Notamacropus eugenii: one gene and its partner. The protein of the gene in region 1 binds, or shares a complex with, the protein of each later gene. Links are inferred from orthologs where the notes say so. Each region holds a gene or a part of one and is shown in the gene's direction. Other genes may lie near its edges.

Region 1 (7,563 bases):
GTTATTTTTTTCTAGTTCTATAAAATAATTTTTTTGTGGTTTGATTGGCATAGCACTGAAAAATTAAGTTAATTTAGACAGAATTGTCATTTTTATTATATTAGCTCAGCCTATCCATGAGCAAGTGATATTTTTCCAGTTGTTTAAATCTGACTTTATTTGTGTGAAGTGTTTTGTAATTGTATTCAATTGTGTTCCTGGGTTTGTCTTGGCAGGTAGACCCCCAAATATTTTACATTTGCACATTCTTTCTTCTCTGAAATCCATTAGTCCTTATCTTGTCTGGTATTTTGCTCTATGTTTCTGTCCCCAGTCCTTCACTCTGGCATGTGATTGATGGAGCAAACACATTCAGAACAAGAAGGGACCTCCCAGCTCCTGTAGCCCAACCTTCATGTTTTACAGAGGAGGAAAGTAGGGCCATCAGTGGGAATGGCTTGTCCTAGGTCACCAACCAGGAAATGTGAGGACTGGGCTTCAGGCTCAAATCCCAGTACCTTTCTGTTGTGCCAGGCTGTGGTGACCCAACAGGGTGGAGAGTCACTCAGTCTTTGGCTCTCTGTTTCTCCATCTGCAAAAAAAGAGGGAGTTGGAGCAGGCAGCCTCCAACGGCCCTTGCAGCTCTAGATCTTTTCTCCTGGAAAAAGAAAACTTGATTTGGAGTCCAAGGACTTGGGTCAGATTCTGAGTCTGACCTCACTCAAGCAGACCACTTCTTCTCTCTGTGTCTCAGTTTCCTCCTCTGTAAAATATAAGATGTCCATGGACTATGCCAGGGGCTCTTAACTTTCTTTGTGGCATGGACCCCATTGGCAATGAGTCTGGTAAAAGCTATGGATCCCTTCTCAGAATGTTTTTTAGTGCATAACATCATATTCGTGATTACAAAGTAAGTCAATTATATTGAAATATATATGTATATGTGTATGTATACATATATACATACATACATACATATATAAAAGTTCAGGAACCTCAGGTTAAGAACCTCATAAACTGTTTGATTTCTAAGGTGAGCCAATCATTAAGTGTATATTACATACTTACTGTGTGCCAGCCACTGTGCTAGACACTGGGGATGCAAAGTCAAACCAAACATTTTCTGTCCTCAAGAAATTTCTGTTGGGGAAAACTCTATAGTATGTATGTAGCAGTGGTGGTGGTGGTGGTGGGGAGCAGTGAGCAGGGTTAGAGTGGGCCTTTAGAGGTCAAGTCCAGCCCCCTAATTTTATAGATGAAGAAACAGGCTCAGAGAGGTTAACTGAGTTGCTCAGGGTCAACCAGCAAGTGTCTGAGGCAAGATTTAAACCTGGGTCATCCTAGGTCCAACACTATCCCCTGTCCTCTGCTGCCACTGTGAATCTCCTTACTGACTCATTGCCTAGATGGGTTTCCTGGTATAAACCTTTTCTTTATATTCTGGTGAGGTGTAACAAATGAATCTCTAATTCTGCTTCTGTCCCTCTTCCCCTCCTCTCTTTCTATTTCTATCTCTCTCCATCCTTTTTCTCCTCTTTCTCCCTTCCCTTCACCCCTCCAAGCCCCTATCAAGGTACAATGCTTTTCCAAACACTCATTTTTAAAACTCTCTCATCCAGGAATGTTCTTCTCTTCCAATAAATATACTCACATGAGCAGTGCCTGTGTTTAGCACTTTAATGCTTTAAGGGTCCCTCTGAGACCCTTTCCCTGCTTTGCCTGTGTTATGGTAGATACTTGGTCATCCGTATGTCTTCTCCTCCATCAGACATAAGTCAAAGTGACTTCCTGGAAACAGCCCTCATGTGCAGAGGGAAGAGCTAGGGGCGTCCCGAGGGAATCATTTATTATGGCCCATTCTTTTCATTTACATTCACATAGCACAATTTGTTGAGCCATTGTCCAGATGATGAACATCTACTTTGCAGCTTTGTGCTAACCCCCAAATGCTGATGTCAATATTTTGGGGTGTGTGGAGACTTTCCCGGTGGGATGGCTGCCGTTATGGAAGAATCTCTGGGCATTTTAGTAACTTCATTTGCTTAATTCCAGACTGGTGGCATGGATTTGCAGCTTCAATAATGCACTAAAGTACCGGTTGTCCTGAAACCCCTCCAGCATCGACTCTTCCCAACTTTGGTCCTCTGCCAGTCTGTCGAGTGGGAAGCGAACCTTCAGTTGTCTTGATTTGCCTTTCTTATTCCTAGTGATCTAGAGCATTCTTTCAGGTCGTTAGTAATAGTTTGTTCTTCTTTTGAGAACTCTTCCTATCATTTAATCACTTTTCTGTTGGAGAGGGCTGTCTCACAAATCTTGCTGCAGTTTTAAGCTTTAGCATCTCTGTTATGTTTAGAGCCAGAAGCTTTACCAGCTTGTTAATACTACCATGACTTGTGGAATAGCGTACGTGTATATGTGTGTTGTCTAAGTATCTTGGATGCCACATATTTTCCTGTTTTACCACTTAACTTAGATATATTTTGTTTGTGCAGGTTTTCAATTTTATATAACATTAACGTTTTTGATTCCTTCTGTCAATTGAGAAGACATCTTTAGCTGGAAAAGGTCTATGATCCGTTTTCTTCTAAGTTCTTTCCAATATGATCTTTAATATTAAAGTCACACTTTCAGTTTATGCCTGACAGTTTGCAGTTTTTGTTGATGAGGGAGTTTTTTCTGAACTAATTTATGTTTTCCAGTTTATTGAACCCTGGGTTATAGTTTCCGATTCTCCTTTGTCTATTTTTCCATCAGTACCAGATGGTTTTGATGACTGCTGCTTTATAAAATAGATTGGCTCTTCATCCTTAACTCTTTGATTTCCCTTGATATTATATTGTTATTTTATCAGGTTCTGTAAAGTGTTCTTTTGATAATTTGATTAACATGAAAATTGTAAATTAATTTTTGTATTACTGTCATTTTTATCACATTGACATGGTCCAGCCATGAGCATTGAATATTTCTCCAGTTACTTAAGTTTTTATTTCAAGGAGCACTTTGTAATCGGAGCTATTTATACCAAGTCTTTTGTGTGCTTTAGTAAAGTGATGCCTAAATACTCTTGCATTTTGTAGCTTCCTATGGCTCTCATGGAACTGGAGTTCCCCTTCCGTTGATAGGCAGGCCTGGTGGATTCTTTCTTTTTAGGGCTGCCAGGGGCTTGGCCTAGCTTTCTGCAGTCAATGCCAAGCTTCCTTTCCAATTCAACTAGGGAAACTTTTTCATACTTCCTAAGTGGCAACAGAGCAGTAGATAGGCTTTTTTTTCCATTTAGTTTAAATTAATATTAACACTTCACTACCTCAGTTATCTGCCCTTTACTTTCTTTGACTAAACATGACCTGAGTTTAGGGAAATGTCCTGACCAATCCTCCTTACACATGTATGTGCATTTGTATATGTACATATGTGTGTATATATAAATACATTTATATACACATGTACATACATATATACATGTATAGAGTGGGAAAGAGAGTAGTGTGTGCGTGTACATCAAGAGCTAGGTGGAGCAATGGATAGAGCACCAGCCCTGAGATCAGGACCTGAGTTCAAATCTGGCCTCAGACACTTGACACCAGCTGTGTGACCCTGGGCAAGTCACTTAACCCTGGCTGCTTCCAAGAAAACTTAAAAGCTTCCCGAGGCAGGCGATAAACTGAGAAGGTGTATTTGGTCCCCTGCATGGCCTTGGCCTTTCTTTGTAAGAGGAAGCGCCCTGCGTCTGGCTGGGTCAGCCTGGTCTTTAATCACGGTCCCTCCATTCCCTGACCTGGCAGGTGACACCAGGCATCAAAAGGGTCAAACGCAGCACTTTCCACATTAAAAGGGAACAGCCCTCGCTGCCCTGCCGCATTCGCACTGAACTTCTAAGGAAGAAGTGAGGACGGCAGGCATGCCAGGCACGGAGGAAGGTCGGTGCAAAGGTGCGGAGATGGGAGACGCGGACAGCCACCAGGCCCCTTCCAGCAAGCAGCCCCACGGTTCCGGACGCGGGCCGTACTGAGTCTCTAAGGACTAGTCATTTTAATTAACGAGGACAGGTGGGGTGGGGACTTGACTCGTTCCTGGTCACGGGGCTCGGGCTGGGCAGTTTCCCCCGCACCAGGCCCCGGGTCGGCACTAGGACCAGCCGGCGGCGCGGAGCACGGGCCGGCGCGCACGCGCGTCAGAGGGGCAGCGCGGGCTCGGGCTCCAGGGCGCACCTGCGGCAGCACGCGCCCCACGCAGGTCTAGGGACCAGGAGGTAAACCGCCCTTGTCCTTCCCAAGATGGCGCCCGCCCCTGCACGTCCCGCCCCCTCCGCCGTCCCGACCTCCTCTATGGCCCCCACTTCCTGTCCAAAGGACCCCGGAAGCCTGCCCCTCGTCGCGCCGGGACGGACGCGGAGAGCAGGGGTCCCTTCTCGCCCGAGAGGAGGCTGGCTGGGTGAAGCGCCCCACCGAGGCCGCCCAGCCCCTCGGCAGCTTCACAGCCCGGCCTGGCCGGACGGTGACCCGGCGCGGCCCGGGCAGCCTCGGCGTCAGCGCTGACGTCACGGCGTCGTAGGCGTCGGGCTCGCGGGGAAGAGACGCGGGCGGCGCAAGATGGCGGCGGCAGCAGCAGCGGCGGCCGCTTCTGGGCCCCGGGCGAAGGCCCCGGCGGCGGGGGCGGGGGCCGCGGCGGCGGAGGAGGCGGAGGACGAGGAGACGGCGGCGGCCTTGGCCGTGGCGGCGGCGCGCGGGCGTCCCGAGCCCGAGGCGCAGTCGGAGGACTCGGGCGGGGGCGGCGACGGCGGCGACGAGGACGAGGACGAGGACCTGGGCTGCTCGTCGGCGGAGGAGGACGACGATGACGAGGAGAAGGAGAACGAGGCGGAGATCCAGCGGCTGGAGGAGCAGGTGCGCCGCGGGGGAGGGGCGGGGGCTGGGGAGGGGGTGGTGCGGCGGCCGTTGTGGGACTGTTGCTCCGGAGCCTCGCGCACGCGCAGTGGGCCCCGCGCGCCCGCGCGCTCCAGACCCACGTGCGACAGACCTTCTAGGCGAAGGACGTGGGGAGGGGCGGGCAGAAACGGGGTCCCCGCCCTCGAGGAGCTCCTCCTCCGGTGGGGGGACCAAACCGCATACCCTTGGGATCAGCGGGACGAGAACGACCTATCGGAGACGAGGGGGAAAAAGGGAGGGCAGGCCTGGTAGGGGGCACGGCCGGAGGGCAGGCCTGGAGTCGGGAGGAGGGTCTTGGGTGATGATGGAACATCATCCAGTAAGAAGACTGGAAAGGCAGGAAGGGGCCAGGTTTACCAGCCTAGGGGTCGGTAATGTTCCAAGTTCTAGTCCCAGCAGCCCCACACTCCCTGCGGCTCGGCTCTTTAGAAGGCTGGTGTGCTCGGGGTCGGGGCACTCCCACGGCCTCGGCCTCTTTGGCCCAGGGAGGAAGTGAAGACGTGGGGGCCGTCCAGTGTGAATGTAGAAGCCACCAGGCGCTGGAGGCTCGCGCTGTGTCCCCTGCAGGGCATTGTTGTTGCTTTTGCGTCCTCTGTCTCTGAACACGCCCTCGTCCTCCTCACCTCGCCTACCTGCCCCTCCTCCAGCAGGCTGGAAGAAGGCCGGCCACCGTGCAGCCTGCATCTCAGCCCTTCCAAGGTCAAACCTGGCCATTCCAACGCTCCTAACCGTTGGGTGACTGGTCTCGGACCAGTAGATTTACATTATGAAGCGAGTTGAGTTGATGGGGAGCTGACCCTGCATGGGAGGCCTGCCACGTCCGAAGCCGCTGGCCCGTGCAGGGCTCTCCCTCCGCCCCAGGCTGCGCTTACCTGCCCTTTTATCCAGGTAGCCTTGGGCCTCTAGTCTGTGTGCTCCGGGCTTTGCCTTCCTAGCTCTCCACTCCTCTGGTCCTTCCCGTCTCTGAAGACAGTAGACCGCGATCAGACACTCCGGGACAGGCTTCCTGACAGACTGGGGGAGCTGGACGAGACCTCATCATTCATCTGTTCTCGTTTGTTACATGTTACCGAAGGAGCACGTCGGTGTTTGCGGAGAGTAACAAACCTGGCAGTGTTCCAGCGGCGTGCGAATCCAGCCCAGCGCAGTCAGCAGCCTTATTGCCCTTGGCTGTCTGACCTCCCTGCCCTCTTGATGAGTTGGTTGGACCAATGAGATGTTTCCTTCCTAGAGTTCCAGGGTACTGTCCCTCTCCTCTCAGGCTTGAGCAGGAACTAGCTTGGTCAGAATTCTCTCACCCGTTGGCTAATTCTTACCTTCCCATGGCTTTAGTTTGGCTGTTGACATGGCATGAGGAGGTCCAAGGAGAATGTACATGTGCTTACTAGTTAGATGTTGATGTGTGTGGTGTGATCATGGTGCCTCATTTTAATGAATCTCAAGATGGCCATCTCTCATCGCATCAACACAGCATCCCAGATGTGGAAGGGAGGGATCTCCAAGGGAATGTGGTCCAGCCAACCTTGTTTTGCAGGGGAGGAGGGACCCAGGGAGGAAGGAGCAGAGCCAGGATGTGACCATTGGACCACACTGTCACTTGTCATGTCCATCTACACAGAGACCTTTCTTGCTCTAAAATAGTCATAGATGTTGTAATTAATTTAAAGAGACCTGAAATTTTAGGAATGAGAAAAATTGAGTCTATTGGTGATTTTCCTAAGGCCGTATGTGTATATCTGTCTGCATACATAACAAGGTGGTGGTAGATCCAAGGACCTCCCCAGTCATACAGGAGTGCACCTCATATACCACCTCCCCATCCCATTATATAGTGAAATGAAAATGACTGTGGACTAGAAGACTGAGATTGAATTCTGTCACCACACTGAGCTGGTGAGTCTCCTCTCTGTAGTGGACCCCGAAGAAGCTCTGGATTTTTGAGCCCTGAACATCTGGTTTCCGATCCCAGCTCTGCTCTGAGTATCTGTGCAGCCTTGGCTAAGGCACTTTACTCTGGGCCACAGCTGTCTGCAAAGCAAGAAGATGGCACTAAATGACCTCCAGAGGACTGCGATTGTAACTGGCTCTGAAATGTTACTATTTTAAGTTTTATTTCTAAGTTTTTGTGTATCCCATCAGGAGAAAATTAAGTAGAGGTGTGATTAAAAAAATTATTGCTTTATAAAAACACTTCTGATTTTGTCCTTACGAGCCATGGCTTTGTTGCTGTATCTTTCAGTGAGAAACATCAGTTTATATTTGTACAGCACCTTTTTAAAGAACCCTGTCATATTTCCATCCCTCTAGAATTGAGGAGCCTTTAACACTGAGAGGTCCCATAATCTGACCAGTGCTGCATAGGCAGACTGAGCTGGTCTTTCCTAATCCTCCCTGCTGTGGCCTCGCTGACAGCCAGGCTGCTTTTTTAGGTTCAACAAGGTCAAGCTGGGTAGGGCTCATTTTTCCCAAATGTTATCATGTGGTCATTATAATGAATACCATGATATGTTGGTTCTTCCCCCTGGCTGCAATGTGCTTTTTTAATTATAATGATAACCATATGATTTTTAATTTGAAGTTAAAAGCTCTCCCCTAGAAGTTGTTCCTGATGCTTGTTACTCTGAAAACTTTTACTTTTATTCTTTGTAAAGGAACTCTG
Region 2 (7,674 bases), on another chromosome or scaffold:
TTCATCTATAAAATGAGCCGAAGAAGGAAATGACAAACCTTCTAGTCGTAATAATAGTAGCAGTAACAGTAGCTGCAACAATAGCCAGCATTTATATAGTATTTTGGGGATTTGCAAAACACTTTATATATGGTATCTCGTTTATTCCAGTTAAACAATTGCTGAATAAATGAATACTGTTGCCAGAATAATCTTGCTTAGGAGTAGAACTACTTAAATCATTTCACTGATCAAAAATCTTCAGTGGCTCCCTATTCCTACAAGTTTAAGTTTAAAATCTTTTTGATTCAAAGCTCTTTCCAATTTGATATCACTCTGTCCTTCCAACTTTTATACTATCCATAAGCCATCAATGTCAAACTCATGAAACCAAATATAAGGCCGCATATTGCCTTACAAAACCACATATTAACATTATCAATATTCTATTGTATTTTTATTTTGTTAAATATTTCCCAGTTACATTTTAACCTGTGGGTAGGCCTCCTTACTAACACCTCTGTTCTAAATTTAGACCCAATTGGATTACTTTCCTCTCTCACACTCTCCCCTACACTTTTCCTTTCCCTACCCTTCCCTCAAGCCATTTCCTCTCTATAGGATCATAGAGCTGAGTCCAACTCCCCCATTTTACAAATGAGGAAATTCAACCCCAGAAAGGTTAAGTGATTTGTGCAAGGTCATACAGGTAGTAAGAATTACAGCTAGCATCCAAATTCAGGTCTGGTGACTCCAAAATCAGTGGTCTTTACACTGCATCATACATCCCTTGGGTGAAAGTTCACCTCATCCAGGTGATCTGAACTCACTGAGGCCTGCCAAATATGATCTTATCCATCTTGGTTCTAGACTCTCTACTAATAGGTTTTGATCTATTTTTCCAAGTCTGAAGATAATTTTTATTGGTACAGAAAACAGAAGAAAAATATAAATGTTTCTGCTTTTTCTCCAGTGTCCAACATCATATTTTGTTGTCTTATTTAATTCAATTCAATTCTATTAACATGTATTAAGTGCCTAATATATACAAGGCACAGTGCTACGTACCAGGCCATATGAAGAAGGAAATACCTAACATTTACAAGAGTATTTTTAATACACATTGCATATGAAGTTCACTACACATTTCATACACATTGCCCCATTTGACCCTTACAGCAACCTCATGAGGCAGGTAACACAAATGTAACATGGATTATGCAGAATGAGAACAGATATTTTCTGCATGCCTCTAGTTGACCCTGTGGTGCTTTGCAGCTGCTTGTGGCCTTAGGTTGACCCTTTGGTAAAAGCACTTGGTGATATTCTGTGGCATGGAATGGTCCTCCCCACCTGATAGAGTGAACAATTCAGATGCCACTGTCTCATCTTGATCTCATAAAATCACCTGTTCTAAGAAGGAAACACAAGAGAGGCAGGGGCTGCCAGAGGCCCAGGAGCAAACTCACGTAGTTGGGTCCTCCAAGCACCAGCTTCCATGTTGTTGGGATCACCATGTTGGTAGGGAGTAGATGACCTTGTCCTTTCCCCACCCCGCAGTGGAGTTACACCTTGACCCATCATGGTCAAAGATGGACAATCTAGAAGCTATTTCTTTTAACAGATGTTGCACCTCAATCCCTTGCTATTTTGGAGAAGGAGTAGAAGACAAAAGGACCACTCAGGGTTTTCCACATCATACCAAAACAGCAAGTTCTTTCAGCAATGAGTCAATACATCTGGAAATAGTCCCAAAGTGGGCCAATCAAAACTAGACACAGAATATCTGGCCATGCTTTGTGCAACTCACCTTATATAGGTATTTCTATTTTGGATATGAAGAAAGAGGTCATATGATCATAGATTTAAAGCTGGAAAGGACCTTTGTGTATACCACATTTTACAGATAAGAAAACTCAGGATCAAAGGGAGGCAGTGGCTTGCCCAAGGTCATGAAAGTAGTAAATGTCAGAACTGAGATTTGAAGTGAAGTCCTCAGGTTCCCAGTTTAAAGTCTGGCTAAGTGATTTATCCTTGGGGATTTGAACACATTTCTCTTGACTCTCAAGTCCGTATGCTTACCACTACTCCAAGCTGTCTTTGTAAGAACCTTTTCCCAAGTACCTCACATAATATTTCATTTTATACTTTTCAAATGTACTTAATGTAGAATATAATGAATTGTAAGTATCTCAGTCTGTATAATCCCCATATGAAACCACTCCAGAGCATCAAAGACCATTTTTAATATAAACTTTGTTATCTCCCCCAGTAGCTAGACCAGCACTATGAACACAATAGGTGTTTACTAAAAGTTTGTTGATCCAGTGAACAAATGTTGTCATTGGTGACCATAAAAAAGCAAACAAAAAAAATTCTAGAATCTCACTTCACTTTACATATTTCCTAGAGCTGACAAATAGTGGGGACATCATTCTTTGAAGAGGTCAACAGTTAAAACTGTTAGTTTATTTTACTTTTTTCTTTTTGCTACTGAGTCACTTGGGGACCTACTTACTTTTCTAGTATCTAAATTAAAGACTAGAAAGTGCTTTTATGCTCTCAAATCAGAGGTAGCTCAATGGGGAAAATTCCCATTATTAGGTAAGAAGTGAGGTCACTGAGCAAAAAAAAAAAAAAGATAAGATTTCATCAGTGTGGATATAACCACTCTCCAGTCCCATAGACCCCAACCATCTAATATATTTAAAAGAATTTCATGAGTTGCTGGAGCAAAAGAAAAAGTATCCCTTGGTGACCAATCCTTTTTTGATGAGCTTCTCCAAACTTAGCTGAGCTGTTTCTCAGATGACATCTAGTCAATCTGGCCCATCCACACTTAAAAGCTTTTCTGGCTTGGTCTGAAACCTGCCAAATTTTACGTTAAGAAGTATAGAATTTTTAATGGAAGAAACTAATATTCTGGATCTTCTACAATCAAATGTTTCACTAAAATTATGTTATTAACCTTGCTTAGCCATATCCCTGAAAAATATTTAAAAAACAATATAGCCTTTATTTACAGATAGTGAAACTAGGGTAATCACTTTGCTATTTATCAGTATCAACTTGACCCTATAACCAAGGCAACATATTGGATGGTCTGATTGCTTCATCTTACTGTAAAGGGGATTCTCTCGGAGTAGTTTTATAAAATTCCATTTAGCAAAGCCCTTGGATTTTTTTTTAAGGATGCAATTGTGTTCTATTCCCACCCTGGATCTTTTGCTAAAATAGCTGAATTTACTTGGATTTCAATTAGCCAAATCCTCAGATCTAATGATTTTTAAAATCTTTTTTAATTATTCGATAATGGGTATACTCTCCACTGACATGAGGGTAAATGCGGGTTTCTTTTATTACCTTTAAAATCTGCGCAAAATTTATTGTAGGTCAAACGTTTCATTCGCAAGGAAGCAGCCAAATGCTTTCTATAGCTGTTTGGGGTCTACTTGGGGGGAACGAGAGGATGGATATATCATTTAAAGGAATCCTATTACCGTCCCTACATAGCACACAAGTTGGTGCCAGTAGGAAGGTAGAGGGAGAGAGTTGAAGAGCGACCAGTTCCGGCATTATGGTCAAGGGTTTTAATTTCCAATGCTCTTTTGCTCCAGCTGGGTTTCAAGTAGCTTAGGCAAAGAGTATTTGCGATACAAACCCATGAGTCAAGAAGCTAATGAAATTGTCATGCAATATTTTAGCTGCTCTTCTGCCTGCACAGGTACAGATATGTACACACACACACACACACACACACACACACACACACACACACACTACAGCCAAAGTTGTCAGGTAAATAAAGTTTCGCGTACATCTGGCCATCTGTGTGCGCATACGTACATACACAATTCCAATTAAGCTAGAGTTGTCATGTTTCGCACGCATCGGTCATTGGCGTGGGTATACACACATATGCAGACAACTGCTATTAAGTTAGAGCTGTCATGTTTGCCATACATCTGTCCACTGGCTCCGTACACTCATAGACACACACGCACCCTTTCAAGGCAGTCATTTCACACACATCTGGCTACTGGCGTGCATACACACCACACATTCACACAACCCCTATTAAAGTCACGTATCCTGCACATCTGGCCACTGGCGCGCATACACATACGAGCACACACAAAACCCCTATTAACTCAGAGTTGTCATGTTTCACACACATCTGGCCACTGGCACGAGTACAAACACATACGTACATACAATTTCTATGAGCCAAAGTTGTCATGTTTTGCACACACCTGGCCACAGACACGCGCAGGCGCACACACACATACATACACACCCTATTACGTTAGAGTTGTCATGAAAATAAGGTTTCGCGCACATCTGGTCCCTGGAGAGAGAAGGGAGGGAAGACACCGGCGCCGAAAGCGAGGAGGATCGGGCGGTACTGGGCCACGAATAAAACGAGAGTGCAGGGGCTCCCAGTGGCGGACCGCGGAGAGGCAGCATTTACGCACTGGGAAGAGCCAATGAAGTTCAAGGTGGTGGTGCTGTCGCTGCTGCCCTCGGCACTGGCCGTTAGGGGGCAGCAAAGGACGCCCGCGCGCTCCCCGGCCAAGCTCTCCTCCGCCTCCTCCCTCCCCCTCCTATCCTCCCCTCCCCCATTACGTCTCTCTAGGTTGCCGACCCGGCGGCGGGGCGGGGCCGCGGGACGCCGTGTTCCCACAATGCTCCGGGGCGGTGCCGCCGCCGCCGCTGCCGCCGCCGCTGCTGCCGCCGGTACCGCCGCCGCTGCCGCCGTCGCCGCCTCCTCCGCTGCCGCTAGTGGAAGAAGATGGCGGAGGGAGGAGCGGCGGATCTGGACACCCAGCAGTCCGACATCGCTACGCTGCTCAAAACCTCGCTCCGGAAAGGGGACACCTGGTGAGGGGGACGGGGCGGGGCGGGGACTGAGGCGCCCGCGGCTGCTGGGGGGGAGCCGGGCGGGAAGCGCCGGGGCTGGTGTCTTTGCTGAGTGACAGGTGCGGGGGGCGGGGGGCAGGTCAGATCGGGGACCGTGGAGCGCTGGTGGGGGGGTGGCGGGGAGGTCAGAGGGTAGGCTGGAGGTGTGAGGTCGCGAGGGGGGGTGGGGGCTGCTGCTGCCTGCGTCCCGCCCTCCCGAGCCGCTCCCAGCCTCGGGCCCTCATCCGGTGAGACCCTGCGGAGGACAGGGAAGGGGCGTGGGTGGACAGGTCCCATCCGGCCCGGATCCGGAGCTTCTCTTCCTTTCTTTCCGTCGTTTCCTCCCCTTGGACCGACCGCCAAGTTTGCCTGTCTGGTGAGCCTCGCATCCTTCCGGGCCGGACAGGCTGCAGGCCGCACAGGTGGCATGGGTCGGGGCTCCGCCGGAGGGGAAGGAGCCCCTAGTTTCCCGGTCCTTGTCAGAGGAGTAGTGCGGAGTCGGGATCGTGGAGGCCCCACGTGGTCTCGGGCTTCCCAGGGAGCTTGTCATGCAGCAGGAGCAGCGGTGAAGGGGGGTGGGGGGGGCGTTCGCTTTGAATTTCAGCCCGTACCTTCCTGACTCAGGGGATAAGAGAGCCCTGCAAAAAAAAGATAAGTCCGTGGGAGATGAACTCACTTGCTGATGGTATGGGTAAAGCTCTAGAGTTAGATTACTTAAGAACCCAACTAAGGTAGGCAGGTGATTCCATCCCAAGGAGTGGAATTTTTCATATCCCCAAACAGTCAATCAGTTGGTAAGCATTTATTGAGCTCCTGCTGTGGTTCGACGTACTGTACTAAGTGCTGGAGCAAACGAAATAACATTTATCTGCTAAATAAGCTAAAAGTGTAAATGTGGCTATGTGTAAGAAGGGTTGCTTTATTTAGTCAGTAATCATAACTATAGGTACCATTTATATACCAAGGACGTCAGGCATTGTACTAAGCACGTTACAATTATTATCTTACTGGAACTTCATAACAACCCTGGGAGGAAGGTGCTGTTACTATTCCCATTTTACAGATGAGGGAACTCCGACAGACGGGTTAAGGACCCAGATAGGAAGTATCTGAGGGCAGACTCGAATTCAGGTCTTGCTGAGTAATCCAGGAAGCCCTTATAAACTTTAATAGCCAGTTGTGTTCCAGGCACATCGATAAGCATTACATGCAGGAAAAGACGATCTAAATTCAAGGAGCTAGTGTACAAAAGCTTTTTTTTCTGATTGATTTTTATTTAAAGTTTGAAGAAAATTAAGCATTAATGTCAAAGCCTGTCTTGACTTATGGTTGGATTTGTATCCTCAGTCCTTAGCACATAGTGAGTGCTTTTTAAAAAATGCTTATTGCCTGCCTTCTGGAAGTCATTATTTTGTAGGGCTGAGTGAATGATTTTGTTTTCCTCAGTTGCTGTAGTTTCTTCTCAGTAGCTTCTGCAGAGTGCCAAGAGCCTGGGTTAGGTGCCTAATAAATGTTTATTGGCTGACCAGCTGTGTACTTTAATGGGGCATGTACCTTCAACATTTAAATGAATTGTGAGATTACAACAAAGAAGAAGCAAGTTTTAATGCCTCTTAGTAATCTCTATAGTTCATCTTCTTGTGTGAAGTTTACCGATCATTGGAGAAATAGAGCATATCTGGATTACTCAGGTTTAACCTTGGCGCAATGGTTCTTTCAGTATGTGGTCAGTAATTGTCCTACTGTGTGTTAAAGAAGACATTGCCTTATAATGAAAATTTAGGCTTTGAAACAGAAGCTAGTGTATCAAGGTTTGAAATTTTACCTCAGCTTTTTTAGTAATGTCATTTAATGATAAAATCTAGTAGAGACCAAAGATCAACCTAGCTAAGCTCACAGAGGCTTCTTGCCAGATTGGCCAAGTGTGATGAATTTTTGCTACAGCAATTCATGAAGCCAATTTCTGAACTCATGAAGGAATTGCAGTCTTTGATTGGTAGAAGAAACATGTACACAAATGAAAGTGCAGGTGCTTTAATACTGTAGTCAGAAATCTATGACACTTATTAGGAGCAGTATACCTATTGTCATGCATGTGCCCATTTTTATTTAAAGGTTATAATTGTTAAGCTTTTGCTTTATGATAAAGTTACTGAGAACATTTTCTCCTTATATATAGAGGTTTAGAATAGGAAAGAATTTTAGAGATCATGTAGTCCAACTCCTTTTATATTACCACTGAGGAATGTGAGGCCAAGATGTGGTATTAGAGGTAAATTCGATCATGCAGTAAATGAATTGCATCATTTTTCACTTTTAATTAAAGAAAAGCAAAAAGGGGCTGAAATTGTATATGTTGTGGTAGATATTGGGAGACCTGACTGATTTATAAATGGGGGCTATATTCTAACTGTAGTCTAGCAGAGGAAATCTGGCCAAGTACTGAAAAAAGAGTTTTGCTTTTTTTTAATGATAATGTAGTAGTATTAATCAGTTTTTGTTTTTAAATTGAAATGTAACATGGTTCATTGTTTTTAAATTAAAGTGATATTTTTCTTTTAAACAGTTCAAATCTTGCCTCAGAAGCTAGCTGTTGACCCTAAATGGATCACTTAACCTCTCTCAGCCTTAATTTCCTCTTCTGTAAAATGAGGATAATAATAGCACCTGGCTTACAGAGTTATTTTGAGGATCAAATGAGATAACATATTATATAGCACTTTTCAAACCCCTGATTAAGGTTTCCTATGGGGGGGGGAGATCTTGTCTACAGGTTTGTAGACAAAAGGGTCCATT

Evidence for each region. Proteins that work in one complex are often made in the same cells at the same time.
Region 2: the proteins of SART3 (region 1) and USP15 are in contact, whole or in part, in a crystal structure (PDB 5JJW), measured with the Homo sapiens proteins. The link is inferred for Notamacropus eugenii from reciprocal best matches to the Homo sapiens genes SART3 and USP15. Residues at the interface, in NP_055521.1 of Homo sapiens: Ser438, Ser439, Lys440, Glu443, Gln490, Arg493, Glu494, Trp496, Asp497, Met500, Thr501, Ala505, Trp511, Tyr514, Arg533, Cys537; in NP_001239007.1 of Homo sapiens: Ser23, Leu24, Asp48, Trp50, Gly121, Met122, Phe123, Val124, Lys125, His126, Lys128.

The regions. Positions count from the first base shown.
Region 1 is NC_092875.1:23,490,423-23,497,985, forward strand, and holds the start of SART3 (squamous cell carcinoma antigen recognized by T-cells 3), read left to right. Parts: upstream 1-4,553; 5' UTR 4,554-4,568; coding exon 4,569-4,862; intron 4,863-7,563. UniProt on the Homo sapiens protein: U6 snRNP-binding protein that functions as a recycling factor of the splicing machinery. Promotes the initial reassembly of U4 and U6 snRNPs following their ejection from the spliceosome during its maturation.
Region 2 is NC_092874.1:239,034,326-239,041,999, forward strand, and holds the start of USP15 (ubiquitin carboxyl-terminal hydrolase 15), read left to right. Parts: upstream 1-4,660; 5' UTR 4,661-4,771; coding exon 4,772-4,860; intron 4,861-7,674. UniProt on the Homo sapiens protein: Hydrolase that removes conjugated ubiquitin from target proteins and regulates various pathways such as the TGF-beta receptor signaling, NF-kappa-B and RNF41/NRDP1-PRKN pathways.